3 linked regions of the Rattus norvegicus genome follow. The protein of the gene in region 1 purifies or fractionates together with the protein of each later gene. This does not show direct contact. Links are inferred from orthologs where the notes say so. Each region holds a gene or a part of one and is shown on either strand. Other genes may lie near its edges. The genes, in order: Lgals3bp, Mycbp2 and Cul7.

Region 1 (10,868 bases):
ACTAATTTCTTAGATCCAGCTGACCAGCATCAATCGTCCCAGTAGTGCCTTCTATGCTGGCCTCTAAAGTCAGAGCGACATGGCTGAAGCTGCTGAATTCTGTTTACAGGACCTGGAACATGGTTCCCTTGTTCTATTGTATTATCGCCAGCTGTCTGTTCTCCAACTCCTTCACTGCCTAAGCTTGGCTGACCTGAAACTTGCTCCTTTGACTTGCAACTCAGGGATCCGCATGCCTGTCTCTTAAGCACTGGGATTAAAGGTGTGGTCCACCAAGCCTGGATGGAAGTTTTTCTTTACCTAGAACTTGCTCTGTCACAGGCTGGCCTTGAACTCAAAGATCTGCTTGGCTTTATCTTTTGGCATTAAAGGCTTGTACTACCTCACCTGGACCTAGCCACACCTGAATGAACCTAAATTTAGTTGGGTAGGACCTTGCCCCAAGGTCACTACTCCCTTAATTCAATTTAATGTCCTTGAACACAGGATTCAGCTACATTTCACTTCCTGGTGCCCCTTCAATACCATATATCTTATACTTCTCCTTTCTAAGCTTGCTATGCCTGTTCAAAATTCTCTTTATGAGACTGAACCAGGGGTTGGGGATTTAGCTCAGTGGTAGAGCGCTTGCCTAGGAAGCGCAAGGCCCTGGGTTCAGTCCCCAGCTCCGGAAAAAAAAAAAAAGAACCCCCCCAAAAAAAGTATGAGACTGAACCAGAGAACAAAGTCTCTGCTGGGCTTTTTTCCTTCATCGATGTAATTAATATAAATCTCTTCACCTTAGCCTCAGATAGACTCTTCTTATGAGGGCAAAAAGCACCCAGATTCTTCACCCAGATATCACAAGAACAGTTTCTAGGCCACATATTAAAATTCTTCTCTTCTGAAACCTCTTTTTTTTAATATTTTATTTATATAATGTATATGAGTACACTGTAGTTGTCTTCAGATACACCAGAATCCATTACAGATGGTTGTGAGCCACCTTGTGGTTGCTGGGAATTGAACTCAGGTCCTCTGGAAGAGCAGTCAGTGCTCTTAACCACTGAGCCATCACTCCAGCCCCCTTCTGAAACCTCTTGAGCCAGGTCTGCACGGTTCAAATTACTCCCAGCAACAAAGTCTTCCATATTCTTACTAGGTTAGCCCATTAAGCTCCACTTAAAGCATTCCACTGCTTTCCAAATCCAAAGCCCCCAAATACACATTCTTTTTTTTTTTTTTTTCTATTTTTCGGAGCTGGGGACCGAACCCAGGGCCTTGCATTTGCTAGGCAAGCGCTTTACCACTGAGCTAAATCCCCAACCCTTCCAAATACACATTCTTAAAAACAAACAAACAAACAAACAAACAAAAACCCAGCATGGTCAGGCCAATCACAGCAATGCTTCAGTCCCTGGTACCAACTTCTTTCTTAATTTTGGTTTTACTGCTGTGAACAGACACCATGACTAAGGAGGCTCTGGTAAGGACAACATTTAATTGGGGCTGACTTACAGGTTCAGAGGTTCAGTCCATTATCATCAAGGTGGGAGCATGGCAGCATCCAGGCAGGCATGGTGCAGGAGGAGCTGAGAGTTCTACATCTCCATCCGAAGGCTGCCAGGAGAAGACTGACCTACAGGCAGCTAGGATGAGGGTCTTAAATCTCATGCCCACAGTGACACACCCACTCCAACAGGGCCACACCTTCTAATAGTGCCACTCTCTGGGCCGAGCTTATACAAACAAACCATCACAGATCCCAACCTGTGGGTCATGACCCCTTTGAGGTTGCACATCAGATCCTTGCACTGCCATTCCCAACAGTAGCAGAATTACAGTGAAGAAGTAGCCATGAGATTATTTATGGTGGGGGTCACCACCACATGAAGAACTGTATTAAAGGGTCACAGCATTAGGAAGGCCGAGAACCATAGAGCAACTGGGCCTGCCACAGACTACACACCCTGTGACAGCCTCTGTAACTTGGCATCCTTTCCCCCAGGAGAAGCCTAGGTCCCGGGCTCCAGGTGATTAATGGGCCTGCCCCAGGATGGAGGCACCAAAGAGACTTGTTGATTCCTGGAGCCACCAGGCAGGCAGTCCAGGTAGGCTGACTGTCCCCCCCACTTCTCTTCTCCAGGGTACACCTCCACTCTCCCTCTCACACTCTCAGCCAAAGGTGACAGAAGCCACAAGTTAGCCCCCGGTTCAACAAGCTTGGACATCTGCAGAGTCAGGCTGATCCCTGCCTGTAGCTCTCTGCGTGGTTTTCCCAGGACTGAATGACCCCATAGCCAATGGAAACTTCACATCCAAGGGAGCCAGTCCTTGAGTGTCCAACCCCTGAACTCTGAGGCCAAAAGCCTTTTGCTGAACCCAAAAGGGCTTTACCCCAGAACTCCCTGGGCCTTTTGAACACCAGATGGCCAGCCCAGGTTGAGCTGCACTGACTGAGGACTCCCCGAGTAGAAACCAAGACCCGGTCTTTTGCTTTTTTGTTTGTTTGTTTGTTTGTTTGTTTGTTTGTTTGTCTGTCTGTCTTTGTGGAGGAAGGGGAATGGGTGTAAGCCAGGCAGAGCCTGTGGTGGTCTGAACCCTAAAGGGTCCCTGGGGCCATTGGGAGGGAGATCGCATTATCGAGTCAGGTGTGTATGGAACCCCAGTGTATCCACTCACAAGTTACTATCTGGGTTTAGAGGACCTCGGGGCCTCCCTCCCTGGTGTCATACCTGGGACAAAGAGCTCAAAGCACAGGATAAAAGGATTTGCCAGACCAGAATTGATGTAGAAGTTTTAATAAAGGACACTTGGGAGGTGGTGCTGGAGAGATGGCTCAACTGATAAGGAATACTCCTTGCACAGAAGCCAGGTATAATTCCCAGCACCCACATGGCGGCTCACAACCGTCTGTAACTCCAACTCCAGGAAACCTGATACCCTGGCCACCATACGCACAGGTGTATGGCACACATGTACATGGTGTGTTTGCCTGCAGGCAAAATGCTCACACACATAAAATAAATGAATCCTTAAAAAAAAAAAAAGTAGACACCAAGGACAGAAACACAGCAGGTAAATTCCTGAACCATACATCAGAAAGGAACAGGGTGATTTTATACCAATTTGAAGTCACCTGACTTTGCCTCCTGGGTCATTTGTGTCGGACGTTTTGAATAGCATTCAAGAGTTGAGTGTCTTGAGGTAGTAAACCTTATGGGGCTGGCAGCTGGGGGAGCCACAGGGAGCTGTTGGGATTTAGGTCACTGTATAAACCTATCATAAGGTTAATTTTAATGTATTTTATATATTTGGAAGTTTTGTCTGCATGGATGTGTGTGCACCACATATGTGCCTGGTGACCATGGAGATCAGGAGAGGGCGTTGTATCCCTTAGAACTGGAGTTATGGTGATTGTGTGCAACCATGTGGGAGTTCCTAAGGGAACCTGGGTTCTTTGCAAGAAGAACAAGTGTTCCTAACCACTGAGCAACCTCCCAGTCCTCTTTGAATTTTATATAATTTTTCACATTTATTTACTGTGTGTGTCCACGTGCATGCACATACAGGCTATGGTAGACATACAGAGATCAGAAGACAGCTTACAGGAGTCAGTTTTCTCCTGCAGTGAGTTCCAGGGATCAAACTCACAGTGTCAAGATTGGCTGGCTGCAGGTTACCATCTCTGTTGTTGTTAGTTTTGTTGTTGTTGTTGTTGTTTTGGGTTTTTTGTTTGTTTGTTTTTCTCCTTTTCTTCCTTCGAGGCAGGCTTTCTTTGCGTAGCTCTGACTAACCTAGAACTTACAACGCAAACCAGACTAGTTTCTAACTATCAAAGATCCACCTACCTCTGCCTCCCAGTTGAAGGTGTTTGCCACCACAGGTATTAAAGAAACCTCTTAAGATTTAAATTTTAAACGTATGTGCACTGCGTGTGTGCATGCATGAGCACACTTGGGTGTATGTGTGTGCCTACAAAGTCTGATCCCATGGAGTTCACTTAAAGCCTGTTCCAAGCCAACCAACATGGGTGCCAGGAATTGAACTCAGATCCCCCGAGAGAGTAGGCAATGCTCTTAACCAGCAAGCCACCCCTAGCTCCTAGCCCTGCTTCCTGTTTTCTATCTCGATTCCCATCCCTCAGGACCACTCTGTGGCCCACATACCTTCCCTCCGAGCATGCTCTGAGCACGGAAGGTTTGTGCAGTGAGCACAGCCAGCCTCCCCAGATCCAGGAAAGGATTGTGCAGCCCACATCCATGTTCACAGACACTGTGTGACCTGAGCCTCTGCTCCCCGGCCCATTTGCAGCATCTTCTCACCATCCACCGGGGTGCCTGCCTGGCCAGCCTGGACAAGTTGCCCCCCACTGTGCTTACCAGGCCAGCAAGGGGATATATCTGTTCCATCCCCTTCCAAGCTGCCCTCCCAGGGTGCCTGCCTGGCCAGCCTGGACATGTATCTGTTCAGCCGCAACATTGTTGTTTTATCAGCTCAGCACAGGGCACTTGGGTGCTTGCCATCCTCCCTGCAGAGCAGCAAGCAGAGGGCTATTAGCCTTGTCTGCAGCCAACCCCAGAGGCAGCCTCCGTCATGTGTTTTCTGGAAATCGAAACTAGACTAGGTTTATAAAGCATTTCCGGGGAAGAGGCTGAGGAAAACCACATGGTGGGGCCTTTCTCAGCTGAACAGTCTACAGAAAGCTTCGAGCTGCAGCCAGCAAGGAGGCTCCAGGACCATCTGCAGCAGCTGCCTGGACAGGTGACTGACTACCTGTCTCTTGCTCCCAGGTGAGTCCCCGCTCTACACAGCATAATTTCTGGGGGGGGGGGTCGCAGAACACAGGAACACCTAGACCTGCAGAGCCTCTAAACAGTTAGGCAGGATGTTCACTGAAAGAACAACTGAAGGGGTGAGTGGGGTACAGTTCATCCCTCGGCCTTCTCCTGGGTCTGTGGATTCTCACCCAGGACTAAACAGACCTACACAGTGGTACTGAATGAGCCAGCATAGGCAGGCACATCCCAAGTTCCCACACAAAGGAGTCAGGCAGAAACAGCCCCTGTCATCCAGTGGACAAAAATGTCCACATACCCTGCAATGTTCCCAAGGCCTAAAGTTCCTGACCCAGCATGGACAAACCCTATAACCACAGCTTATAGTAAATGGAGGGGGTGGGCACCCAGGGCACTTTGCCTGGGACTCAGGTTTCCCGGAACCCAGACCTCCTTGGGATAAGACTGGGTGCACAGCACTAAGGATCAAGCTTCCCACCCATCATCGAGTTATAGAGTTCAGCGGTCAGAGCCTATAGTGAGAATGCTCCCCTGGTAGCCAGACTCCGCCAGCCACACTGAGAAGAGTCCAGTGGCCTTCCCCCATTAACATCCCAGAGTCTATAGGGGATATTAACATGAGGTTTACATAGAGGAATGTATAGCTAACTGGTCTGCCCTATGCCTGGGCTGTAAATCCCAGACTGGGCTGATATTTCCTGGAGACAAGCTTCCCCTCCGGCTGTCACCAGGCAACAGCTTTCTCCTTTCAGCATGAGACTCCCAGGGGGAATTCCAGTTCTGTCCTTGCTTCAGTAGTACGATAACCGAAGGGAAGGGCACGAGTTTGTCTTAGACTATCTTCACCCTTGCCAAGATGGCTACAAGAGCCCTGGATCACTGAGGTCTTGCTCGTGCTGCTCTGGTACAGAATGTCTGGGGTGGAGGACAATCCTGGTGTTTCTACTGATCCTGGGATAACCTCTACTGCTGGTCTCTGGGCCCCTGGTCTGAGTAACAAAACAGTTTGAGATTCGTTGCTGAGTTCCTGCCCAGGAGACAGAGCTCTACAGCACCGTCCACTACCAGCCCCGACCTCACTGCCCTCGGGACTAGAATGAGTCTACCAGGGCTGCTGCACTTTGCTCTCTAGGTCAGCCCCCTTCATGCAGGGCCCGAGAGAAAGTGCCTGGGTGGGGCCCATTCTACAGACAGGCGAGAGAGTCTTAGTATTGAGTCCCTGTGTGTCAGCACCTTGGCAGTTGACCCTGACCCATCTCCCACTCATCCCCAGATCACGCCATGACCTCTGCAACTGTCTCTGTCACTTCCTCCTGAGAGTTCCCTGCTCCAACCTCATCCACAACACCCTCCCAGACTGGCATATCTTGTCCCTTTGGGGCACACCCCGAAGGGGGCTGCTGCCTGAAGATAAGACCAACCGTTGAGGGATAGCCTCTTGTCTATTTCCTGGGTTCTCGTTGCCAGGAGCCCTCAACCCACCTGCCTCATCTGGGGAGACTTACTGTCCTGAAGGTTGTCCCATAGAGCATGTGAGAGAGAGGCCTGCATAAGGGTCATCTCATGGCCATCTGGGCCTTACGGAAGAGGGACCACCCACAACACCATCCTGTCCTCCACAAACTTGACAGGGGACCATGGAACTACCAGTCTCCTCCGGAGAGCTGTGGCCAGTCTAACTTTGTTGTTCCTTCTGCTGCAGGTTGGGCTTCCAGGTCAGGCAATGGCTCTTCTGTGGCTCCTCTCTGTGTTCTTGCTGGTTCCAGGGACTCAAGGTGAGTCCTGCTCAGCGAAAGGTCCAAAACAGAAGTCAAGACCGTGCGCCTTGGTGCCTTGTTCTGTGTGGGTCACACACACACCCCCTCCCCATCTTTGCAGAAAAGCCAGGTGGCATCCTGTAAGACACCATGTCTTAGGATTCTCTGCCATGTGGATCCTCAGTCATTCTGAATGGTGGCCCTGTATGGGCCCTGCCCCCTCCCCGAAATGCAGGTGTTGGAGAAGAGACCAAGGAATCTTTTTTCACCTCATCAGTGGGCCAAGGAGGGAGAGTGCAGCCTGTGTTGTCCTGGAGTTTGAGCTCTCAGGTCACAGGCTAGAATGCCAGAGAGTCCCTGTGGAACAGTTTACAAACTGCACCATGGGTCTGAAAGCCTTGCCCATCCTGGACCCTCAGCTGAGTATCTCGCTCTAGCATGGGTGACCCCAATTCAAGCACCCAGCCGGCATGGACAGAGACGGGAGTCCCAGAGAGCAGGGAGCAGGACTCCCTTGGCTACCTGTGCCTGAGGGCAGACTGTCTCTAGTCCAGTGTTGTCCCCTCTAGGCAGACACTGTAGGGATGAGGTAGCAACTGTATGTGCGAGTTGGGATATCAGCGCTGTGCACCCCGCTCCTCTCTTACAATGGGACCCCACACCACAGCTCCCTCGTCCCCACACTTTGGAGGGAGCAGGCAGCATGGCAATGTCCTGTTGCTGAGTGGGGACAGTCCAGAGGCCATGAGACAGGTGGCACTGGGGTGTCAAGACATCACCCATCGTAAGCCGAGGTTAATCTGCTCTCTGCCTGTGTCTAGGAACCCAGGACCCACCTTCCCCTTCATACCAGCGTTTCAGAGAGCCAGGAAAGAGCCTCTCCCCCCCCCCCCAAGTTCACTCAGTAGGCTGAGAGCCAAGGTGTCCTCTTGGAGAAAAAGACCCAGAGATGAGAGCTAGATAGACCATGGCCTCTGTGGGCTCATCAGAGTTTTCACTCTTCTTCAGTGGGTAACTTTTTTTTTTTTTTTTTGGTTCTTTTTTTTCGGAGCTGGGGACCGAACCCAGGGCCTTATGCTTCCTAGGCAAGCGCTCTACCACTGAGCTAAATCCCCAACCCCCCCCCTTTTTTTTTTTAAAGATTTATTTCTTTATTTACTATATATAAGTACTCTGTAGCTGTCTTCAGACACACCAGCAGAGGGCATCAGATTCCATTACAGATGGTTGTGAGCCACCATGTGGTTGCTGGGGATTGAACTCAGGACCTCTGGAAGAGCAGTCAGTGCTCTTAACCTCTGAGCCATCTCTCCAGCCCCCCCCCTTTTTTTTTAAAGATTTTTTTTATTTGTTTTTATGTATGTGAGTACACTGTAGCTGTCTTCAGACACACCAGAAGAAGGTTTCTGATCCCATTACAAATGGTTGTGAGCCACCATGTGGTTGCTGGAAACTGAACTCAGGACCTCTGGAAGAGCAGTCGGAGCTCTTAACCACTGAGCCATCTCTCCAGCCCTTCAGTGGGTAACCTTACACACACACACACACACACACACACACACACACGAATGCACGTGCGGGGAGGGCCCCTTGAAGTGGTTCAAGGCATCTCCAGAAGGCCACTCCACCCTGTTTGGGGTGACCTTTGCTCAACGAGAGAGCACACAGAGCATTGAGTACACGGGGAGTGGGCATCAGACCAGGCTAGCCCTCCTCCCAGCTAATCTCCACTCTCCTGACAGGTGCAAAGGATGGAGACATGCGCCTGGTTAATGGGGCCTCAGCCAGTGAGGGCCGCGTGGAGATCTTCTACAGAGGCCGGTGGGGGACAGTGTGCGACAACCTCTGGAACCTTTTGGATGCCCACGTCGTCTGCCGGGCCCTGGGCTATGAGAATGCTACTCAAGCACTGAGCAGAGCCGCCTTCGGGCCAGGTGTGGCTGAGGTCCCTGAGTAGTGCTCCTCAGGCATCCCCTCCCGCGCCCCAGTGAGCAGCCCCAGTCCCCGCCAAAGGTCCGGTTCCTACTCCAAGCGGCTCCTGGCTTTCCTTTTGTGCCCACAGGAAAGGGACCAATCATGCTGGATGAGGTGGAATGCACAGGGAACGAGTCGTCACTGGCCAATTGCAGCTCCCTGGGCTGGATGGTGAGCCACTGCGGGCATGAGAAGGACGCGGGCGTGGTCTGCTCCAACGGTGAGCTGCCCTGCCCCCCACCCCCGTGTAAACAAAGTTGCAAGTGGCACTGTGGTTGTGGCTGGGAGCACGCGTCCTCCAAGAGAGCCCCCCGTGTTACTTTAACGCCAGAGAAGCTTCTCTAGCAGGGCTAGATTACGGGCAAGGGACTGTATTCCAAGTACAAATGGCACTGTGCTGGAGGGTTGGCTCTCTAAGGGCCGGTGTCTTACGGCTACTACTTGCTCTGACACATTGCACAGCACCCCTCCGCACAGGTTGTGTGTGATGGCGCTGAAGTGATTCTCGGTGGCTATGTTCAAGGACACTAACCGACTCCATCAAAAGTCTTCATCTCCAGTGCCTGAGGCCCAGTGGGAGTGTTGCTTCCTGGCTACCGTCTGTGGCTTCCTCCTGGGGGGTGGGGGTGGGGGGGCAGGGCAGTTTTGTTCCTGGGACATGCCTCTCTGTCCTGAGTTGGAGAACTGAGGCCTGGGGGTATTGAATCCCACAAGGTCAGACAGGCTTGGGTACAGGTTGATCTGAGGTGGAGGATCTCAGACTGGGGGAGCCTCATGAGTGTGAATAAGCTGTGTAGGCATGTGGAAGGCCCCACTGACTGGGGAACAGCATGAAACGGACACCAGAGGTAGAAGCTAGGGGGCACTGGGGCTGTGGTGTGAGGAGACACAAGGAGCCAGCCCACGCACTCCAAATGCCACGCCCGTATAGAGCAACACACGGTGTGGTATGCAGTTCTGGATTAGGGTCTGGGAGGCAGGGGAAGGTGGGGATGCCCTGAGATATGCCAGAGACCCTTCAGGACTTGTTCCCCTTGGGACTGGGAACCCTCAAGTTTTAATGTAGGATTGCAATGGGACCCTAACTTATCAGGTTTTTCACTGGGCATAGGGGGGTGGCCTCTGCAGTCACTGGGGGCTTGCGAAGGATGGGCACAGCCTCAGGGTGGGTGACTCCTCTAGAGGAAGTGCCTGAGTGTGTGGTACAAGGAGCCAGCCTCTGAGTACAGCAGGGCACAGCAGGGCCAGCTGCTGTTTTGTGCAGTTCAGAAAGCATCTGCAGCCTCCCTTCAGGCCTGTCCCATCCTGCATCTTCCCACAAGCCCTCTGAGCAGAGGCAGGTACCAGGATGTCTGGTTCAGATGAGGACCCTGACTCCTGGGGGTCTAATGGAACTTAAAGTCACAGAGAAAATGATCCACAAAGGCCATGTCCTTACACAGCCTCTGTCCATCCCAGATTCCAGGGGCATTCACATCCTAGACCTCTCTGGAGAGCTCCCAGATGCGCTGGGCCAGATCTTTGACAGCCAGCAGGACTGCGACCTGTTCATCCAGGTGACAGGGCAGGGACATGGGGACCTGAGCCTCTGTGCCCACACACTGATCCTGCGCACCAACCCCGAGGCCCAGGCCCTGTGGCAAGTGGTGGGCAGCAGTGTCATCATGAGAGTGGACGCTGAGTGCATGCCTGTCGTCAGAGACTTCCTCAGGTAAGCCAAGCTTTCAGCTCTGGGAGTACCTGGGCTGCACGCTCCTCCTTACCTCCAGAGCACCCACTATGCTAGGTTGGAGCCACAAGGTAGCAGGTCTGTCCCACACACTCACATATCACACAGCCACATGCGCACTTCTTCATGCTGCACACGTCTGCCCTTGCAGACAAAGGGTCACAAATTCTCACATCTATCTTCAGAATCACACGGGCACACATCTGAATGTTCCCTGCCTTTTCATGGAAGCATGAAACAGTCAGACATCACTACCTCTGCATCCATATATGCATATGCACATGCATGTGCACACATGCAAGCGTCCACATGCACACACACACTTATGCATCCAAATGTTTCCCATACTTGCATGGGAGCATGGAACACTCAAACATCTGAATACTCAATTACTACTTCTGCATGCACATGAATGCACACACACACACACACACACACACACACACACAATCATGAATCCATATGTTTTCTGCACTTGCTTAAACACATGTGCATCCATCTGACCCTTCCTTTTACATGTGCCTATGTGTCTTCTTGTCGTAGTCACTGTTCTGTCACTATGAAGTAACACCGTGACCAAGACAACTCTTCAAATGAAAGTATTTATTTGAGGGCTTGCTTAAGCTTCAG
Region 2 (10,768 bases), on another chromosome or scaffold:
GTCCACATGCAGCCACAAACCCACTAACATGTAAAGGAACCCAAGAGGTGGTTGTCTGACCAAAAGTAAGAAAATGAAAATGAGAAACAGAATTTTAGTCTACAAATAAATACATTGTATACTTTTTCCTCTCCTTCCGGTGATGACAGGAGCGCCTTTTCCTCTTGCTCTGGTGTAGGTTCAGCATCCCCAGAGATGAGCTTCCCAAACACCTGACAAGGAAGGTAGGCAGGTGAGAACCTCGATGATGGCACTACCCCTGCAAAGCTGGACGGCTATCTAATTCATTATTTTAATGAACTTTTTATCTTGAAGCAGGGTTTAACTCAGTAGCCTAGGCTGGCCTGGAACTCAAATGTAGTCCAGGCTGTCCTGAAGTTTGTGGCAATCCTTGTCTTAGCCTCTAGAGTGCCAGGCCAATGGCCTCATGCCCCACACTGAGCCAGATTCTGAAGGGTTCCTTGTAATACAGCATCTCTGTCCATCGCACGATTACTACCGCTCTGAAACTGCAAATCTACATTAGACATTGGTAATGGACTAAACGAAGTGAACATGGGCTGTACTTGAAACTAGAAACTTATAATCAAATACCTGCCACCCTCTGAAAACACGGCCAGTTGCGCTGCAGTGGCTCACCTGAGAGGTGATGAGTCTGAACACCCGCAGGGTCTCGGCCTCGCAGCTCCTCTGCTGAGCCACACTGGCTGAGATCTGGCCAGCAATCTTTGTGCTTTCACCGTCTTTCCAACCCAGGACTTTTACTTGTCGAACTCTTAATGTATTTTCTGGGCCCTTTAACTCAATTTTGATGATGTGATTATCCCCTCCAGGGAGTTCACTTGTTACCCAGCCAATGTGCCTGGAATCCAAGTCGACCTGGTGGAGCAGAGAAAAGACAGGACCTTGATCCAGCAGAATCACTTTATCGCGGCTCTGGTCCTAGCATCAGTAACCGAAGGCTCAAATAAACAAGTGCACAGACGGTAAAGATCGTCAGGGTGTTCCTGTTATCTTACTTAAGTTAAGGGCAAGCAGTAGTATCTACAGGAGCCAGAACAAAGAAGAAAGCGAGGTTAACCCAGGTTGAGAGAGTTTCAGGAGGTGGTGGGGCTGAGAAGTGATACAGGCCTGACTGCCACATGGTTTCCCTGGGTAAATTCTGAGGAAACTATTACAGAGTTTACACGATTCCCTACACTGGCTTTCAGTAGAAACAACGTAAGTAACAAGGTGCTGTTTTATGCATCCTTACATTAAGTACCACAAAAGAAAATGGCATTTTCATTGTGTTGATATTTCAGATGTGTGTTTGTATATCAAGGACTGGATGTCAATTCATAGAAAAATGGGTTTTGACACTACTTTGCCAATGAAATTAAAATTATTCTCATTCTATTTGATGACCAAAAAGGAACCTGCAGCCTTCTAGATGACTGATTTAGACATTTGTTACTTTAACTATAATGTCAATACTTCCACAAAGAGAATATAAGTGTGAAAATCAAAACAAAACAAAACTTTTAGAATAATTTTCCTAGATTCTTTAGCATTTAAATATTTTTCATCTTAACTTTCAGTATAAATGGCGAAAAGAAAAAATTCAAAGAAATGTACTGACTTTTGCATTACAAAGTAAACCTAGAAGCAAAGCTCTGATAAGGTTATAGTTATGTAAGTTCCTGAGTTTGTGCATAATCTCAAGCCTGTGCCCAGATAGGCTTCATTTCTACAATTGTTTTGTAAACTGATTTATAACAGATAGAACTGCTGAAGTAAAAGCCATGGCTGTATTTTACTTGATTTTGTTTAGGCTAACAATCAATTCTAATGTAGGTGTTGGTAAATGAAGTTTCTGGCTGTGAATCAGTGACATTAAAGGCACTCAAGTCTTCGTAGAACAATGAGGGATTGCAGACTGTAGGCTTGTGACTGAGGGCATTTAAAGAAATATAAATACATACAATATCCAATAAAAAATAAAAATTCAAAGTGTATAAAAAAGAAATAATAAAGAGCTATCTAGCATTGGGATGTAGTTCTTGGCCACAAATTAGTTTCAATTTACTGTTCTGTGAATAAATGATTTCTTATGCTATCTTGGTAGTATGGCAAAACCGAAAATCAACAGTGAAAGCTGAGAAGAAAAACTGGCATTTCAATTACCTGCTTTATTCTGCACAAATCTTCTACTGCTTTACCAGTCAGGAAGGTCATCGAGGTAACTTTATTCTATAACAGAAATTCAAAACAGTTACACGGTGTTTCTTCAGGGAACATGTACATATACACTTATGCTTTACAGCCTCAGATGCCGTGCTATAGTGTCAACGTCCTCACAGACCGCATACCACTTGTCCAGCCAACCACAGGGCCTGCAGTGCCGTCATCTCTTACATTTTAGCCTCTGTGTGACTTCTCAGTTTACTTTCCCAGCTTTAAACAAATTCCAAACCTTCAAATTTTGTATCTTCATGTAGTGACTGACAATTCTGCTCGGCCGAGTCCCTGTTTCTGAAGCACATGAAAGGAAGGTTCCTTAACTAACAGCTACTGTGTGCGTCATCGAACTGTGTGGCTGCGGAAGAGAACATCGTGTAAGGTGCCTTCTATCCCTGCAAAGGGCTCAGCAAACCTGGGAAGGCAACGCTCACGGGAAATGAACATCAGCCAACACTACCAGTGTGGCGTCTCAGTGCAGGAGGCCAGTCACCCCGGCACTAGGGTTCAGTAGTTTTATGCTAAGCACATCAAAAAAATGTACTAGCATCTTGAGCTGTTTATTATGAATAGTAACTCAAAATAACAAATGCTATGGATAAGGCTCACTGTGGGTAGTTGGGAGGCGAAGCAATGTATTTGCTCAAGGATATCTCTTAAAAGGAAAGCAGATGTTATGTGAAGAGTTTTTGGATTCTACAATAAATATTGTCACAAAGTATATCAACTTAACAAATATAGACATTAAATTTGATTATAACAATCATTGTGAGGAGGATGCCCTGGTGAAAAATGTATTGAGTCAAAGATGAGTTTGTAGTCAGCAGTAAAACCTAGCCAGCAAAGTTCTAACTTTTTCTTGTAAGATGAACTTTCTGTTTATAAAAGGAAATAAGCTCATGAGGTGCTAGCTTATGCCCCGTGTCCTTATCTGGCCCCAGGGAAGCACTGAATCTGCACTGCTGCACAAAAGCTGGGGTCTGGGGAGGACGGCAGATGATTGTACCTGGATGGAAGAGGGGACTCATGTGCTTAGCTTTACTTCCAGGTTATTTGAGACAAAATCCCCCTCCTTCCCTCCCTCCCTGCCTCCCTCCTTCCCTCCCTCCCTGCCTCCCTCCCTTCCTCCCTCCCTTCCTCCCTCCCTTCCTCCCTCCCTCTCTTCTTTCTTTCTTTCTAGGCAAAATCAATATGCAATGGATGGGTTTAGCCCAGCAGTGGCTCATGGGAGTCCACTAAAACCATCTGCTGAAAAGCCTCGTCTACTCTGAAGCAAAATTCAAAGAAGTATTCTTCCCCAAGACTAAGGGCAGAAGAATCAGTCTGGCGGCCGATGCTATTTTCCAGCTCAAGTAATAGGATTCTTTTCTTTTCTTTGGTGCCTTTTATGGAAGAATGTTTTAATTCAGATGAAACACTTTATTAGAGAGATTAGGCTGGAGGAACTGTAAATCATGAATATTTAAATGAGTTCAGGGACTGTCCACCTCTAACTCTAAGGACTGAGGGTATGAAGCAGAAGCCAGAAACTGATTATACTGTGGGCCAAGGTGTATTAGGCACAATTAGAGTGCTACAAACAGAACAGAGTAGCCAAGAACCCAGTGGAGGGAAGAGTAAGTTCTCTCCCCGGAGTTACAATCCAAAGAGGGCTTCTCTGCTGAGTTTGGGGATTGTGGGATCACATTTTATAGATTTTAATCTTGTTCAGCTGTAGCCAAGGTACATTTGTGATCAGACCATTTTTTAGAATTTATAGTCCATAGTGTTTCTAGTCATATAAATCTGTTCTTAGAGTTAGGATTTATTTGAAGATTATAAAAATGTTTGGTTGGAGAAGTCCCCAAAACTTAAACCTCTTAGTTTAAAAGAAACAGTGAGCCAGAAATTAAGTTCTCTTCTTACCCCAAGATCCCGGGAATTGTCCACATGAACAGATACATAACGGGCATTAATTCCCTTCACACAGTTGATAGTGATGGTTTTAGTTTTATTTTTATCTTCATCTCCTGATTCCCAAAAGGTTTCTGTGGAGCCATCTGTCAAACTGCCAATCATGGCAGGTCGACTTGATGTTTTTATGTCAACGATACTGGTCAAGTCCTTTAAGCACATAACTATGCATAACTCCTACAAAGAGAAATGTAAACAGTCATAGTGTTAAAAATGCAATCTTTTGTGTGGGAAGAGTAAGCATTCAATAGTAAACACTGTAATCAAACTGTGTATGACTCACAGTTTGTCTTTTACCACACTTACCACCACTAGCTGCTACAACAGACATGTAAGTCGGCCACTGACCTGGTTCATGGCTTCAAAGCCAGACTGGATACTGATGCTGAAGCTCTCCTCACTGTCTCCGTCGTCTGACTTCGACAAGATGTTGTTGATATGATGGAAGACATTGCTCTGATGGAGGAACTGGTGGTCAGACTGCTTGAACTTAAGGCTCCAGCATCTAAAAGTATAAACAACAGACAAAATAATTATTTTCTAGGATTGCCTATGAGTTCTCAGAAAAGCTACTACACAAAAGATTACTTTTGTAAAATACATTGAAAATTTCTAGAGGAGGATGAAATTATATATATATATATATATATATATATATATATATATATATGTATGTATGTATACACACACACATACACACACATATTTATTTTGAGAAATAAAGGTAATTTAACAAGGTCAAAAGAAAATCTATTTTAAATACACACACACACACACACACATACACATATAAAGGAGCTATGGAGGTCAAGGCCACACAAGCAGAAATGAATCTGTTCTAAGGATAAGCATTATAGCAACTGCAATAGCTTTGCTAATTTCTGTGTGATAATGATTTAATGATTTTTGGGGGTATAACATTTTTTACCCTCCTATGAAGATTACAAAAACTATGTTTTCTATTGGCCTTATCATTAGGGATGTAGGAAACCTAATCTGTCCCATAAGCTTGTTATATACACCATGGAGGATTTATTTGTCTATAGTTCACTGACTCAATTAAAAATACAGTTCATAATGTAATGCCAAATTCTCAACACATTCCAAATTAAGATGACGTGATACTGTATTTCTTAAAATTGGAAGCACATAACTAGAATCTGGAATTTACTTTCAAGCCCCTCCCAACTTTGTTTTGGTTTCTGAGATTTTATTTTCATTCTCTTTGCTGGTCACAGTGAAACAGGAGCAGGAAAGGTGAACAAGATGGTTTCACCAACAGTCTGGGAACTAAGAAGGGCAAACAGATACCAGCCAGACAGAAAAAGGTTCTAATTTAGGACAGAAGAGGGCAGTCACCATTTCCTCAATTTAGGGATTCTTTGCATCTTGCCATTTAAACATTTTTTCAAGTATTCAGCACTTTGCATAGTCCATAAATTTCTATTGGAACACTTTGGTGAAAAATTACCTTAGGGCCATTTGCTGCAAGGAACTGCCACTAGGGAGCGACATCATGAGGTCGGAGATGGTCTGAAGTAAGCGGTGAAAGGTGTGTGGCAAAGGGTGAGCAGCCTCGCCTGCAATCACGATGTCTGACAGCGGGTGCTCACACACCCTTGTGTCCTTCTCCTGCGGGAAATTGGAAAGGAGTTTATCAGTTGGAAGAAATGTTTAAAAAATAGTCATATAACTATAACTTGTAAAATTTCTAATGTATTTGTAACATTTCTAGAGAAAACTATAAAGTAAATTACAGGTAAAAAGAGCAAACAAATGAATATCACCTATACACATCAATTTTACACTTACATGTCACTAGAAGACTGCATACAGATGTAGATACATGTATCTGCATGCACATAAATTCATATTCAAATAGACATATTTTATGTAGATGTTTATATATTAAAAGCAATGCATGTTTAGGAGTTGGGGTCCTCGTAGTTCATAGGACTTTTTATGTACAGTAGGCAATTTACAACATGACCATGACTTATTACCTATGTACACAAAACTCAATATTCTGGTCAATGGAATTTCTTTGAATGGAAACAGTGCAGTTTCCTCATCAGTCTACCTCAAAACAATCATTTTGTCTGTTTTAACAAGCTCTGCTATGAAGCGCATCTTCACATAATAGGAAAGCTCACAGAAGTGTAGTAACGAAATAATTTTTCATGTGAATGTGTATAGGTTTTGCCACATTTTTCTCTAAGAGGTGTTTACTACACAGCATATATGAACTTCTTTGTTTTCCCATTCTGTTGCTAATGGGCGCTTATCAACATTCTGAATTATGTCAATGAGCTAAGTAAAACACAGCATGCTACTGCTTCTTGCTTTGTATGCCTACCAGAGTAAGAACATCAGATGAGTTCTAGTTTACATTATCGTTCACTAAAGCATATTACATTTCATTAGGTCAAGGTGCCCACGTGGTAGACTGGTTATTTCCGACTTCGATTTACATTTGAGAGCTACATTCCCTGATAAGGGCTACACATTATTTCTTTGGCCACCACATTCACCCCATTTACTGCTAGGCTAGAAAGGAGAGCGTTCCAGCTCTAGACTCTCTATGTACACGTGATGCTGACTGCAATACTGCAGGACATCTGCTCGCTTGTTGTGTGACAATGGCACTCAATGAGAAACCAGTTGTGTTAGCATCTTTGCCACATAAAAAACTTTTACTAAGTAGGCTAACATTTGTCCATACTATCATTGTTGGTTTTTTTCAAGCCAAATCATCTGTCAATTATTTCATGTAAAACATTCTACTCGGGTCCTATAAAATATGTAACTATGGCCATATAGCCATGCACACACAGGAAACACCATGTGGACCCTGGCTGCTATCAGCAATGACAAGGAACAGAAGAAGTGGAGGGGCTGCCCGAGGGGCAGCTGGGGGTAGGAGTGGTGGATGGTGTGACTGGCATATATTGTATAAACTTGTAAGACTGTCAAAGAATAAAATATGTAATTAAAAAGGGAAAGCACGGAAGAGGAGGAGAAAACCCACTTGCTCTGCATTTTCTTTACTGGATTTATTATCTTCATCCTCGTCTTCCTCTGCCTCTACAGGAGAAGGAGTCAGTGCTGCCACAAAGTGCCAGAGAATGTCATGCAGAGACGTTGTTTGGATGACATTACAGAGAAGCCAGTTGAATGCCTGAGTAAAGCGAAGCATAAAATAAGGGGAAAATGCGAATCACAATACATAGGGGTTTATTGCTGTTATTATTTAAAATTATTATTTAAAGATAAACATGTTAAATAGAAAATGAGGCCTTTGTTTCACTGAAAAACCCTCAATTTAAAATAGTCAATTCTGGTGTTAATAAAAAAAAAAGAGCAACAAGGAAATATTGTTTACAAAATACAATGAAAATTCCTTTTTAAGTCAGCATTTTTCCTAACCAGCATTTAAAACTAATACAGAATTTTCCAAGTATTATACAAATAGCCATTTACTTAACTATATCATTTACAACATTAAATGTAACAAATTATTTACCACATTCTTGTTAAAAAAGAAGAAACATTTACTATCTGTAGGTCTAGCAAAGGCTTCGTCCCTACTCCAGAAAACAGAGGCCTGGATAAGCTACTACTGTAAATATCTAACTCAGAAGCCCAGTCACCTTCTTTGCATGATGTCATTTTATTCTAGTGAAATGTCCTGAACACAAAAAGGTTTAAGAGACAAACTCATATTCAAGTAATAAGCTTGTATAAAAATAGAGATTTAGCATACTTAAATGTAAAGTTCCAAATTAATTTGTTCGTAAACTTTATTAGTTTGATGTGAACACTTTTTTCCCATTAGGCACATGGCTTTAATTTGATGTAATTTATTTTAAAAAAAAAAAGTGTCGCTAATTAGAATTACTGTGTCTTTGTGTAATACATGGATAGTAATTTTATCAAAGTATCCATACCTCCATAGCAAACACACGGCAAGCCGACTTCCTTAAGGCCTGCTTCATTGCGATTTCCAGCCCTTCTAAATCATGATGCTGTATGACGAAAGCTAAGACTGGCCACTGGAAGTTTCGCTCTCCTTTGGAGAGAGAGCTGTGGGCTGATATAAGCCGGGAAAGCTCCGGTGACGGATGTCGCAAGAGAGAAGACCCAACTTCTGAAAAGAAAAAAAAATTAGTAATCTTCATAGATAGTATACAATTAGTGTGTTAAATACTGAAAATATCTAGCGTATTCACTTTAAAACTTTTTGTTTTTGCACGTGACATAAATCATAACAATTTCAATTAGTGTTAAGGAAGCAACTGTCTTACTTAGAACTACACAGAGTATGATGAACAGGTAGGTTTTGAAGGAAAAACTGAATCTCAGTTCATACTTCCTGCAGCATTGTTAAAGCTAAGTAGCTTGTATTATGTCCATACATTCCTACAAGGCTGAGTAAAAGTATGTTATGAATATATGTAAAGTGTGGAAAAAGATGGCTAGTTAGAATTGTCAACAGACGCAATCTCTGGGAAGGGAGTGTCAATGAGGACTGGTCTGGATTAGGTTGGCATTAAGGGTATTCCTGGAGAGATTTTCTTAATTGGCTTAATTTCACTGGGAAGACCTATCCTGATTACTGGCTGAGCCTAGCAGTGAACGTAAAGGAGAGAGAGCCCTGAGCACTAGCACGCACGGACTGATCAACAGTCTGCTGATGTGATGTGACCAGCCTAATTAGTCGTGAGCCAAGTAAACCCTTCTCCATTTTCTCCATTCTTCTGCAAGGAAAACAATTTTCTTTGTTTGTTTGTCCGACAGTTTCATCATTCAACCTGCCATTATGCCTACCCGTGTCTCCACTGTTCACTCTCCTTCTAGGGATGGCTTTAACTCGTGCAGGTAAAATGGAGTGTTGTTTATCATATTCCGAAGCGACAACTGAGTATGACCTCTGGAAGACAGTTCTCTTAGCCAGGTCGGTGTCAGTTATCGGGCTCGTTTCCAAACTGCGCATGCGGAAAGAACAGAGGTAAACACTTATGAGAACCAGGGGCGTGGGGTGCAGTGACACTTCTTCTGAGGCAGTGAGTCAGATGTGTGATTCCGTGTGGGCTCCATGGGCACGAATACACGTGCTGCACAGACACATTCAGGTAAACACTCATACTCATAAAGTGAACATAAAATCTCAAAAAAGAAGAATGTAATCTTTTCCAAAACTGTGATGTTCTGAATGATTCCAAAACTGTATCTTAAACTTATACTTTTCTGAAATTGTTTGTATTTCAAATGAAAAGAAAAGCTTCCAAATGTCCTGACATTTTCTTTTTAAAGGTTATTTCATGTGTATGAATATTTTATGTACATATATGTACATCACATATGTGCTCTTTGCCTACGGAGGCCAGAAGGGGTGAGAGAGATCCACAACTGTCGAGAGATCCACACCTGGAGACAGATCCACTACACCTGGAGACAGATCCATCACACCTGGAGACAGATCCACCACACCTGGAGCTATGGGTGGCTGTGAGCTACATTGTGGGTGCTGAGAACTCATACAGTAAAAAGAAATGACCATTATATAAGGAAAACTGATGAAGAAAATGATGCTTTGTTCATTATAGATACTTGAATATGGATAAATGAGGTTTTACATTCTCCAGAGGAAGGGCTGTCACAAGAGTGCAATTAAAAGGTGAGAGCTATACTTATCTGTGGGTATGTGAATACATCTTTTAGAATTCAGTTAGAAAATACATTGGTTTAGGAAAGTGGGTTCTCTTCCAGAATCTATGATCTCTCCAGTCACGGGCAGTTGGCTAGGGTTACAATACCAGCATGAATTCCTCCTACTGAGCAGCTTCGAGTAACTAACCACCAAGGTCATGAAGAGTTATTAGCAATCGGGGGTGGGGGAGGGGGAGGGCAGTCTTATCAAGATTTGAGCCCCTTGAAAGTAAATCCATTTCTAAATGGTCAACCATATATACATATGCGAAACTCAGGAGGGTCAACCATATATACATAAATGAACTCAGGAGGAGTGTGTGTATATGTATACACATGCACATATACATACATACACAATAAACACAGGGAGAAAGTAGGGGGCAGTGGAGGAACTGGAGGTGAAAGATAGTCTTTTAAAAATAGTTTTCATTAACCACTGATGTTATTTCATCAACTTATAGTTAATCTTGGGTTTGTAACAGGACAGAATTTAAAAACAGCACATTCTGGCCTCATATATACTCAGGTTTTTGTTTTCAAGTGTATCTGATTCAAATATATGTATATTTGACTTTCAGTAAACTTCTAAGGTAACATTTTATTTTAAAACTTCAGAGGATATTTAATTTTTTTTCTCATTCAAAAATTATGATACGAAGTCTGAACTATACCTTTCTTTCCTTTTGCAAGATGATTTGTTTTCCTTGTTCAGATACTTAAAATATTCCTATTTTGTTGTTGTTTGGTTGATCTGAGTTTTAGTATCTCAATATATTAATCTTTACCATAAAAGATTTTCATTCACCTCAGTATTGTATAATTTTGGAACCCTATGAATCATTATAATACCAGAATCTTTTTCTTTATTAAATTTATAATTAAT
Region 3 (10,868 bases), on another chromosome or scaffold:
GGGGAAGAATCGCGGGGGGCGGAGTTTTTGAGTCAGTCTGAAGTTTTGTGTGGTTAGTAGGAAGTGACTTACTCATTTGTCCCAGAATGTGGGAATAAGAGTTAGTGTAATCTTAATTCTCAGCCCCAGGGGTACTCCCAAAGACTCACCTGCAGTCTGCTGGTCCCGCTGCCGCCTTCGTGGGTACTGCTCCTTTAAATATATCATGGCTGCCGCTCGAGGCAATTGTTTTGACGGCTCTGAGGGGCGGGGACTGTCTTCCATCATGTGACCTCAGTGCCTTCCAATGATTGGCTAAGAACTTGTTCTAGGGAGGAAAGAAAGCTTGTATCTTACGGCGCTGCACTTCTGTGCCCGCCTCTCTTACGTCATTGAAAAGCGACGGTACCCCGAATGAAACGTCATTTAAGAGCACCAGGCTCTGGGTAAAGGTAAAAGCGAGTTCTGTACGGAGGAATCTGACCATTCCATGGCCCTGTGCGCGCTGGCTAGTGCTCTGCGCTCCTTGAGCCTGGCATCCCCGGCCATTACCGCCCGGGTTCCGACTCTGCTTCCTGTTGGCCAGGTAATCCGCTTACCTGGGAAATAAAATCCGCCTGGGGTGTCAGTGATCCCTCAAGGCTAGTCGGGATCACGTGACCTTGGGTAAACTTGCCTTCATCCTTTGCTGTTTGTAAATGCTGCTCTCTCCGAAAGCTCCATTCGTCAGCGAGATACTGGCTTCCAAGTACTTTTGCAAATCTTTACTAAACAGGTTGCAATGGTAACATTAATGTGCCAACCGCAAACCAAGCAGAATAGAGGACTGAATTAAAGGAACTCCTGAAAGTTGTGCACATTTTGCAGATGAGAACACTGGTCAACAGTCTAAGTCTTACACCTTCTGGGACTTGACAGACTGACTTCAGAGCTTGCTTTTGTTTTTGCTCTCGTACTTCAAATTAAACCTAGAGCCTTGCTCATGCTGTGCACTTTTACCTCTGACCTACACACCTCACACCAGAACCAGTGCTCTTAACCATTTTAATGTGTGGATAGGTTGTGGCTGATATTAGGGAATGTCAACCAGTGGGTCTGAAGTGGGCAATGGTGAATCACAGAAAAAAAGAAATTATTGGGGTCTGGAGAGATGGCTCAGTGGTTAAGAGCATTGACTGTTCTTCCAGAGGTCCTGAGTTCAAATCCCAGCAACCACATGGTGGCTCACAACCATCTGTAATGGGATTCAATGCTCTCTTTTGGTGTGTCTGAGGACAACTACAGTATACTCATACAAATAAATAAATCTTTAAAAAATTATTTAAAAAAGAAATTATTGACCTTGCTTCTCAGCATTTCTCAGGCTAAGCTTGGCAAAATTTAGCAAATATATATTTGATATTCCAAACTAAACCTAACACTGGGTCTACAGCAAGTGGAAAAGCAAAGTAGTTATTTTTATTCATATTTGAAAATTCCTGAAAACGTGCAGAGGGCAAAGGTCACTGCTGCTAATGGTGGTATATGGGTGTGTGGAATTTACCAGCTCTGGAAAAATGAATTCTTCAGGCAAGGAAAGGTTTCTATTTCCGGGCAAGAACTTGAAACGAATTAGAAGTTGATGAAGGAAAAACATCTCCTCGGAGAAGTATTTCAGAGGTTTACCAAATGGTTACCAAGTAACTGGATAAACACATTACGCTGGTATTTGTGGAAGTTGAAGGGTAGAGATTTGAGGGCAGTGGTCTGAGATGCTTTGAGGAGGAAATAGCCTACAAGCCAGACTTGATCCGTGTGCTTTCTCCCTTGGTTCTCTGAAAGAGGATTTTCTTTTTAATCCCGAAATACAGAGCAATGTCCTCCTTCAGCTGCCCTCTGCCCTGGCATTGCCCGCTCACCGCCCAGTGCATATGTCTGCGGACCGCAGCGCTAAGTTTGTGTCCTGGAAGAGTCGTATCAAGTACACAGTTAAACCAGTGAAGATGAGGAAGTCTGGGGGTCGAGACCACACAGGTGGGAGAAAGGGCCGGGAGCATCCGGGGTGGGGGGGAGACTGCATTAGGGCCCTGGATGTCTAAGGCAGTGTACTGTGGCTTGTAAGATGTCAGTGAGGTGCGTTTTGCTGTGTGGCTCACTGTTGAAGCTGAAGAACAGACCACACAGAAATATAACCAGCTCAACCAAAGTGCCCAAAATTCATAACGGTTTAAAGTGTGTGTGAGTCCGATTTATATCCCTCCCAGTAAGTCTACTGAATTCAATAACCTGAAAACTTTTGTTTTATACAATCTTAGTAATCGTACTTGTATTGAGCCATGCAAGTGTTACCTCAGTGCTTCTTCAAGGATGCCCTGGCCTCCACACACCCACATGCTATGGCTCAAACTTGGGGCCTTATAAGGCAAGCTGTCTATGGCTGAGCCACACCACCAGCCCTTTGTCACTTTTCTGTGTGTGATATAATATCGAGGGAGTGCTACTGTCCAGTCTAGGCAAGGTCTGTTAATGTTGAGAGCTCTTCTAACCTTAATCACAGCCCTGAACTCTCCTGACTCTAGGCCGCATCCGAGTGCATGGTATTGGTGGAGGCCACAAGCAGAATTATCGAATGATTGACTTTCTCCGGTTCCGGCCAGAAAAGGGGACCGAGCCAGAACCCTTTGAGGAGAAGGTTGTGGTAGTCCGCTACGATCCTTGTAGGCAAGTTTGGGGTGGGAAGTGATGATGGTGTGGTCTGAACTGCTCTTTTGTAGCTTCTCAGAAAACGTGGGCTTTGTCCGTCATCCTGAACAGGTCTGCAGACATAGCTCTGGTTGCCGGGGGCAGCCGGAAACGCTGGATCATTGCCACAGAAAACATGAAGGCAGGAGATACAATCCTGAACTCTAACCACATCGGCAGAATGGCAGTGGCTGCTCAGGAAGGGGATGCACATCCGCTTGGGGCGCTGCCTGTGGGGACCCTCATCAACAATGTAGAGAGCGAGCCTGGCCGAGGAGCCCAGTATATCCGAGCTGCAGGTATGGACCCGAACGCTGCCCTCTTCCCACAGTTGGGAAGACCCAGGGGTACCTGCTATCACTCCTGTGAACCCTTTAGGCCCACATCTGTTCCAAGGACAGAAGAAAACAAACAGTAAGAGGACGAATATGTGCCTTGCTTTATCCTAAATCATAGTGTATGGTCTTCTGTGTTTCATGTGCCCCAAAGGACAAAGTAAGGGTAGCGTGTGACCCAAGATCCCCACGGCAACCTCCCTCTGATTTGTGGAGGGTGGCAAAGCTATGTCTCCCTTCCCCAGGGACATGCGGTGTGCTGCTCCGGAAGGTGAATGGAACAGCCATTATCCAGCTGCCCTCGAAGAGGCAAATGCAGGTGTGTGGCCACAAATGGGAGGAGTCAGCAGAGGGGGTTTGTGGAATGCACCTCACTATCTCCCAAGTGTATGGTGCCAGGTTCCATTTGTGTGTGCTCTGGTCTTCGCTTCCTGAGTAAGCAGGCCTCCTCAGGTCGGTGCCTTAATGGAATGCCTTTTCCCAGCCAAGCATGGCGGTACATGTCTGTAATCCCAGCATTCCAGATGAGGCAAAAGAAGCTACCTAGGCTTTTCCAGGAAAAGATAGGTGTGGGTTGAACCATCAGGTTGGAACTGGCTTTTAATCCCGTCTCTCAAGAGCCAGAGGCAGGGATGCAGAACAGTCAGGACCCTGACTCCAAAAGAAAACCACAAAAACAAAAACAGATTCAGGAGTGTTGTGTGTGTGTGTGTGTGTGTGTGTGTGTGTGTGTGTGTGTGTGTGTGTTTCTTCAACTTTTCATTCATTCTGTCAGACCCACATTTACATTCTAATGTTTTGTGTTTCTCCTTTTTCCATCCCTTATTGAGTGTAAAAAGCCACCTAGAGTAGTGTTCCCAACACTGCCCTGCCAGGCTCTTGCTCCCACCGGTGCATTCTTGTCTGCTTCTCTTGTCAGGTGCTGGAGTCGTGCACTGCAACTGTAGGCCGGGTTTCCAACGTTAATCATAACCAGCGGGTCATCGGCAAGGCAGGACGGAACCGCTGGCTAGGCAAGAGGCCTAACAGTGGGCTGTGGCAACGCAAGGGAGGCTGGGCCGGCCGGAAGATTCGGCCACTGCCACCCATGAAGAGTTACGTGAAGCTGCCCTCCGCTGCTGCCCAAAGCTGATTCCCCTGGACTCAAATAAAATGTTCCTTGTTTTTATCTGTTACTACCTTTTCAGTTTTGGAGGGCGCGGTACAGACTGTAGAGAAATAATCAAGGATAGAGGGAAGAGAATGGAAAAAAACGGATGGGGAGGGGGTTAGAAATGACCTCCAAGGTCTTTTCCAGTTCTGGCTTTGGGAAATGGGAAGGCACTTCCGGCACAGGAAGGAGGACTAAGAGGAAGAGGAAAGGGCGGTGCGGAACTGGAGGGCTGCGTCGTCCAGGTGGCACTCGCTACTCCTCCCGCTGATAGCCCCGGGCCTCCAGCTTTCCGCTAAATCTGGCGGAAACGAGCGGTGGCTGATGCAGGCGGCGGAGCTTGGGAGCGCCCGAAGCCCTAGCCAGGACTAGGCTCCACCCTGCAGCAGGCAGTGCGCAGGCGCGCGCCGTGAAATCTCCTGCTGGCCACGCCCTCTGCCCGCCTGTCTCCTGCACAGGCACGCCCCCTCCTCTGCGCCTAGACCCCTTCAGGGGGCCCAGGCGGGGCCCAAACACTCGTCAGCGCAGCAGCCGCCATCGTGTGCAGCGCGTCCCTATCTCTGCAAAGGACAGGCCTCGCGCCAGGATCCCGGTGGACTTCTGAGGTGGCCAGAGCCCCGCCGCGGCCCCTGCCCCTTTTCTGGGCTTCCGATCGCCCGCGGAGCCTCTCGTCCCCTTCCCCACCATGCTTTGGGACTCTCCTTTATCGGGCCTACCTCCCCATCCTATCCCACCACGCCCGTTCCCGACCTTCTCAGGTCTTGATTCCCATCCACCAAGCCTCGCGCCGCTTATCCATCGGACCCCTGATGCACCCTTTCCCCGGCCTCGCAGCTCTGGCATGGATGTCTCCATTCCTTCCCCTTCTCCCAGCCTGTCAGCTTTGCTGATGGCCATTTCTGTGCCCTTTCCTTTGGGCCTGACCACCCAGTGCTTCAATTTAGAGATTTCATCCCTCCTCTGACACAGTCCTGTGCCTCCACACACCCATTTTCCTAAGTTCCCTTTACTGGCCCAGGATCTTGGGCTTCATTTGTAAACCCAACACTGCTCTAGACCACTGCCCTTCCCATTGTCCAGAACCAAACCCACTCAAGGCTACAAGCCTTGGAGACCTTTTAGCTCCAATATTTTGCTCTCGAATAACAAACTCCACAGTGTTCTCTTCGGTCCAGGTCTCACTCGGCCTGAAGCAGGCCCAACTTTACCCCACCCAGCATAACAGCTGTTGCTGCATTTGCTCCTCCAACTCCTGGATGCCCTTGTTTTCTGACCTCCCTCTCACTCTAGCTTGCCTCTTCTCTCTTCCTTGTGTGTCTCAGGTGCCAGGATGGTGGGGGAGCTCCGCTACAGGGAATTCAGGGTGCCCCTGGGGCCTGGCTTGCACGCATATCCGGATGAATTGATCCGCCAACGGGTTGGCCATAACGGGCACCCTGAGTATCAGATCCGCTGGCTCATCCTCAGGCGCGGAGATGATGGGGACTCTAGTCAAGTGGACTGCAAGGCTGAGCATATCCTGCTATGGATGACTGACGATGAGATCTATGCCAACTGCCACAAGATGCTGGGGGAGGATGGCCAAGTCATCAGACCTTCCCAGGAGTCTGCAGAGGCTGGGGCCCTCGATAAATCTGTGCTGGGGGAGATGGAAACGGATGTGAAGTCCTTGATTCAGAGGGCCCTTCGGCAGCTGGAGGAGTGTGTGGGCGCTGTTCCTCCTGCCCCACTCCTTCACACGGTCCATGTACTCAGTGCCTATGCCAGCATTGAACCCCTCACGGGCGTCTTCAAAGATCGCAGAGTTCTGGACTTGGTCATGCACATGTTGAGCAGTCCTGATTATCAGATCCGCTGGAGCGCAGGCCGGATGATACAAGCTCTGTCCTCCCATGATGCTGGTGAGGGGCAGGTTGGGGAGGAAGGGAGAACAGGAGAGGGTCTGGGTTGGCTCAGGGATTCAGAGGACACTGTGACAGGACCTTCTGACTGCATCAGTACGTAATGGTTCTGTTGTCATTCACTTTTAAGTTGGAAGAAAAAAGAGGGGGCGGGGGCGGGGGAGAATGTTTATTGGGGAGGTGGGGGAGATTGAATAAGCAAGAACATATTAATCCATTAGCTTTTATGCAAAAGAAGAGCTTAGACTGTTGCAGAATGTGTGTGTGTGTGTGTGTGTGTGTGTCTGGGTGTGTGTGTCTGGGTGTGTGTGTCTGGGTGTCTGGGTGTGTATGTGTGATAGTAAACTTTGGCTCTTGAAGCAAATCAACAAAATATGTCATTCCCAATGAGTTCTGGCAAAGGATTGGTAGTAAGTAGAAAGCTAGGAGAGATGCCTGAAAGATTGGGCTTAGGGAGTTGTTTCTGATTGGAGGTATGGGTTTCAGGAACCCGGACCCAGATCCTTCTGTCACTGAGCCAACAAGAGGCCATCGAAAAGCACCTGGATTTTGACAGCCGCTGCGCTCTGCTTGCACTGTTTGCCCAGGCTACTCTCACAGAACACCCGATGTCCTTCGAGGGCGTTCAGCTGCCACAGGTATTTTGGGAATATGGGGTAGTGGGAGCTGAGGATTTGCCACAGAGGATGCTCCGGAAAGAGGGCAGAAGATGAGATGGGTGAGGGTCAAAGGTATATTCTATAGGTCCCAGGACGGCTGCTCTTCTCCCTGGTGAAACGCTACCTATGTGTCACCTTCCTCCTGGATCGGCTGAACGGCAACGCAGAGGATCAAGATGCCCAGAACAACTTCATTCCAGAGGAGTTGAATGCTGGGAGGGGCCGGGTGGAACTGGAATTCAGTATGGCCATGGGCACTCTGATCTCCGAGCTGGTGCAAGCCATGCGCTGGGACTGGGCCTCAAGCAGATCAGAGAGCTCCTCTCCCATTTTCCAGCCTCCGCCAACAGAGTTCTTCCGCCCCCGTGCCCAGCGTTTCAGGAGGTCAAGGCGGTTTCGCCCGCGCACCGCATTTGCGAGTGTCAACACCTATGCCTTGTATGTGCGGGATACGCTACGGCCCGGGATGCGGGTACGGATGCTGGAGGATTTCGAGGAGATCAGTGCTGGGGACGAAGGCCAGTTCCGACAGAGCAACGACGGCATGCCTCCGGTCCAGGTAAAGGCTGTACAGTAGTGAGACCCTGAAATTCTATTCTGGGTAAGGCATGCATGCCTGGGTGTTCTGTACTAGAGGCTCAGTTAAGATCCAAAGGGCAAAGGCATTAACAGTTGAAAGGACATGGAACCCTTGGGATATGTGATTAAAGGAAGTTCGGACCCAAGAAGAAACTGGTAGATCCGAATTTGGCAATGGCTGTTTGAGGCCAGATGGAAGCATTGAATATCAAAGACAGAGACGATCCAGGCGTGGTAGCCATGTTTGTAGTCTCAGAACTCGGGAGGTAGAGAGAGACAGGAAGATGGGAGTTCAAGGCCAGCCGTGACCACATAGCAATGTTGAGGCCAGTCTGGGACCCCCGTCTGAAAGAGAGTAAAAACAGAACTAGAATAAAGGAAGTAGAGGCCATTGCTGAAGAGAGGGTGGGGCTGTCTGTATATACACTGTCGTCTATGCATTCTATATATTCTATAGCCAGTGTTGCTATTTGGTCACCTTATAGACCATGAGCCCCAGCGTTGGGCCTCAGCTGATTAATAGCAAATCCTCTTCTCCTTCCCTCTTCCCGCGCTCCAATCCTCCAGGTGTTGTGGGATTCGACAGGCCATACCTACTGGGTACACTGGCACATGCTTGAGATCTTGGGCTTTGAGGAAGACATTGAGGATGTGGTTGACATTGATGACCAGGGGGCAATGGTCCATGGAGGACTGGGTGTAGGTGAGCTCGGGGAGGGGTTGGCTCTGAGCCGAGAAGCAGAGGCCTACCTGGGCAGGCAGTGACTTGGCCGTTGGCACGCCCCGTTTTCACAGCCCCGCCATTCCAGCACTGGAAGCCCATAGCTCAGCTCTTTGCCGAGCCTTACGTGGTGCCCGAGGAGGAAGACAGGGAAGAGAGAGAGCACTTGACCCAGGCCGAGTGGTGGGAGCTCTTCTTCTTCATCAAGAAGTTAAACGCAGAGGAACGGCAGCACGTGGTGGAGCTCCTTCAGGAGTTCCTGGAGGGGGAGGTAGGCACTCCTCAGAGGCGCCCCCTACAGGTCTGGACTGGAACATTTGCAAAGCTCGGGAGGGGACGTGGAGGTCAGATAGCATCAGGGGCCCACAGTGGAGGAGTCTGGGAAGTTCAAAGATGCAAGTGTTGGTGGGCTGTCAGCTACCAGAGGTTCAGAATGGTGGATGTGTGTGGAGATTCCCCATTCCCCCAGAGGACCTCTCACCATCTGCTCGTTCAGCTGCTACGGGCTGACTTTCTTCCCACAGCATGTTCTGGACTTTGAGATCCTGCCCGAGCTGACTGTACCTGTTGAGTTGGCTCAGGACCTGATGCTGTCTCTGCCTCAACAACTTGATGACAGCGCTTTGAGGGACCTGTTCAACTGCTATGTGTACCGGAAGTACGGCCCCGAAGTCCTGGTAGGGAAGCGAAACCGCCCGTTTGTGCTAGATGACCAGCTTAACCTATTCCGGATCGAAACGGACTCTGAAGATGAGGCTGGCGCTGAAGGTGAGTGTCCCGCAGACAGCAGCAGAGACACCTGCCTTCGGGAGAGTGTCGTCACAGGGGGGTCTCCTCTAACAGTGTGCTGTCCTGTCTGAAAGAGATACCCTACCCACAGTCCCAGAAACTTTATATGTGCGTCCACGTGAGTGCGTGTGCGTGCGCGCGCGTGCGTACCTGTGTGTCTAGACCCGAAGACAATTACAGATGTCGTTCCTCAGCTGTCATTTATCTTTTATTTAAATTGATTTTATTTTAGCTGAGTGTGGTGGCCCACACAGATATCTGAGTTTGAAGCCAGCCTGCTCTATAGAGCAAATTCCAGGACAGCCAGGGCTACACAGAAACCCTGTCTCAAAAGTACCAAGCCGGGGTTGGGGATTTAGCTCAGTGGTAGAGCGCTTGCCTAGGAAGCGCAAGGCCCTGGGTTCGGTCCCCAGCTCCGAAAAAAAGAACCAAAAAAAAAAAAGTACCAAGCCAAAAAAAAATTTTTATTTTATTTTATTCGTATGGGTATTGTGTGTCTATTACGTCCATGCAGTGCCCACAGAGGCCAGAAGAGGGCGTCGGCTCTCCTGGAGTTGAGGTTCTAATTAGTTGTGAGCTGCCAAGTGGATGCTGGCGATTGAACCTGGAGCCTCTGGAAAAACAAGTGTTCTTAATCTTGACCCATCTCTGTAGACCCATCCGCCACACTTTTTCTTCCTCCTTTCTTTCCTCTATCTCTCTTTCTTTTCTTCTTTTTTTTTTGGGGGGGGGGGGGGGCAAGTTCTCCTGCTGCCCTGGTCCTTGCTGTCTCCACCATATGTATGAACCACAGGCATGAACCACTGTGTTCAGTTATTGTTTCTAGAAGATTTTATTTCTAATTATGTGTCTGTATGTGGGTTCGTGCGTGTGAATGCAGATACCCCAAGTAGGCCAGTGAGACTGTCAGATGGCTGGAGCTGGAGTTGCAGTGGGTCACGAGCTGCCTGACACAGGTACTGCCAATTCTTACCCCACTCTTGTTCCTCCAGCCCAAGATCCCCCATCTCAGAGTGCCAGCCCTGCCCTGCGGCAACTGGTGGAGGGCTTGGGCCCATCTGGGAAGCTCCTTGTGGACCTGGAGCGAGCCCTCAGCTCTGAGGCTCCCCAGGAAAATGAGGTCAAGCCATGCCTGCTGCAGCTGCAGGAGGAGCCCCAGCCCTTCCTCACACTCATGCGGAGTCTGGACACTCCAGCCAGCAACAAGGCCCTGCACCTGACTGCGCTGAGGTGGGAGAGCAGTGAGGGGCAGGGCTGGGCACAGGAAGGCCTCACACCAACCTGATTATCTCTCTACCTTCCCGTTTCTGTCTCTCCCCCTAGAATCTTGATGCAGCTGGTGAACTTCCCTGAGGCACTGCTGCTTCCCTGGCATGAAGCCATGGATGCCTGTATGACCTGCCTTCGGTCCCCCAATACTGACCGAGAGGTAGCCCTGTCCCACTCTGGGGAGATGCTGGGCGGTGGGAGGACCCCAGTGAGGCAGACCCCCGGGTGAGGCTTGGAGGATGCAACAGAGTCTTTGTGTTCTTGCCTTTAAAATGAAAATCTTATGTTTTTTAAATAGGTAATATTCAGAAAAGTTCACAAGTCAAAATGGCACAAGGTAGTCCTTGAGAATTCTGGCTCTTACCTGATTCTCATTGTCTGAGCGTCCTTGCTGGTAACCCACTGTATTAATCTATAGTCTGTCCCCTGCTTCCTTAAGCGTATAGAAATGAGCTCGGCGGGCTTCAGCCAGGCCTTCAGGAGGAAGGGGAGCAGCCTCGCTGCTCTTGTAGAGGACCCAGATTTAGTTCTCAGCACCCACCGGACAGCTCGCAACCATCTGTAACTCGTTCTAGGGAGGAGGTAGACACCTCTTTCTAGTCACATGCACACACGGTGTAATGGCAGGCAAATACTCTCACATAAGATTTAAATAACTTTACGAAATCTTTTCAGAGAGGGAGTGAGGGAGCAGACTTTTCTATAAGAGGTCCTGGGTACAGGAGGCCTCAGAAGGGTCAAATGTATGGTGTTAATGAGTATCTC

Evidence for each region.
Region 2: the proteins of Lgals3bp (region 1) and Mycbp2 purify together in Homo sapiens (co-immunoprecipitation; 3 studies listed by BioGRID and IntAct, counting the BioPlex papers as one, with this or other methods). This does not show direct contact. The link is inferred for Rattus norvegicus from reciprocal best matches to the Homo sapiens genes LGALS3BP and MYCBP2.
Region 3: the proteins of Lgals3bp (region 1) and Cul7 purify together in Homo sapiens (affinity purification with mass spectrometry; 3 studies listed by BioGRID and IntAct, with this or other methods). This does not show direct contact. The link is inferred for Rattus norvegicus from reciprocal best matches to the Homo sapiens genes LGALS3BP and CUL7.

Annotation. Positions count from the first base shown.
Region 1 is NC_086028.1:104,121,618-104,132,485, reverse strand, and holds the start of Lgals3bp (galectin-3-binding protein precursor), read left to right. Parts: upstream 1-4,637; 5' UTR 4,638-4,772; intron 4,773-6,480; 5' UTR 6,481-6,501; coding exon 6,502-6,553; intron 6,554-8,277; coding exon 8,278-8,469; intron 8,470-8,597; coding exon 8,598-8,729; intron 8,730-9,967; coding exon 9,968-10,220; intron 10,221-10,868.
Region 2 is NC_086033.1:86,373,976-86,384,743, forward strand, and holds part of Mycbp2 (E3 ubiquitin-protein ligase MYCBP2), read right to left. Parts: intron 9,159-10,768; coding exon 9,001-9,158; intron 8,321-9,000; coding exon of another isoform or gene 8,318-8,320; coding exon 8,121-8,317; intron 7,352-8,120; coding exon 7,202-7,351; intron 5,806-7,201; coding exon 5,645-5,805; intron 4,679-5,644; coding exon 4,522-4,678; intron 4,351-4,521; coding exon 4,126-4,350; intron 2,233-4,125; coding exon 2,167-2,232; intron 880-2,166; coding exon 640-879; intron 213-639; coding exon 123-212; coding exon of another isoform or gene 114-122; intron 1-113. UniProt on the Homo sapiens protein: Atypical E3 ubiquitin-protein ligase which specifically mediates ubiquitination of threonine and serine residues on target proteins, instead of ubiquitinating lysine residues.
Region 3 is NC_086027.1:21,824,176-21,835,043, reverse strand, and holds the start of Cul7 (cullin 7), read left to right. Parts: upstream 1-4,699; 5' UTR 4,700-4,790; intron 4,791-5,507; 5' UTR 5,508-5,515; coding exon 5,516-6,086; intron 6,087-6,572; coding exon 6,573-6,724; intron 6,725-6,830; coding exon 6,831-7,304; intron 7,305-7,891; coding exon 7,892-8,027; intron 8,028-8,119; coding exon 8,120-8,316; intron 8,317-8,569; coding exon 8,570-8,813; intron 8,814-9,826; coding exon 9,827-10,064; intron 10,065-10,157; coding exon 10,158-10,263; intron 10,264-10,868. Other genes in the region: Mrpl2 (large ribosomal subunit protein uL2m precursor), read left to right, coding at 470-565, 1,830-1,992, 2,538-2,679, 2,773-2,999, 3,281-3,354, 3,955-4,167. UniProt on the Homo sapiens protein: Core component of the 3M and Cul7-RING(FBXW8) complexes, which mediate the ubiquitination and subsequent proteasomal degradation of target proteins. Core component of the 3M complex, a complex required to regulate microtubule dynamics and genome integrity.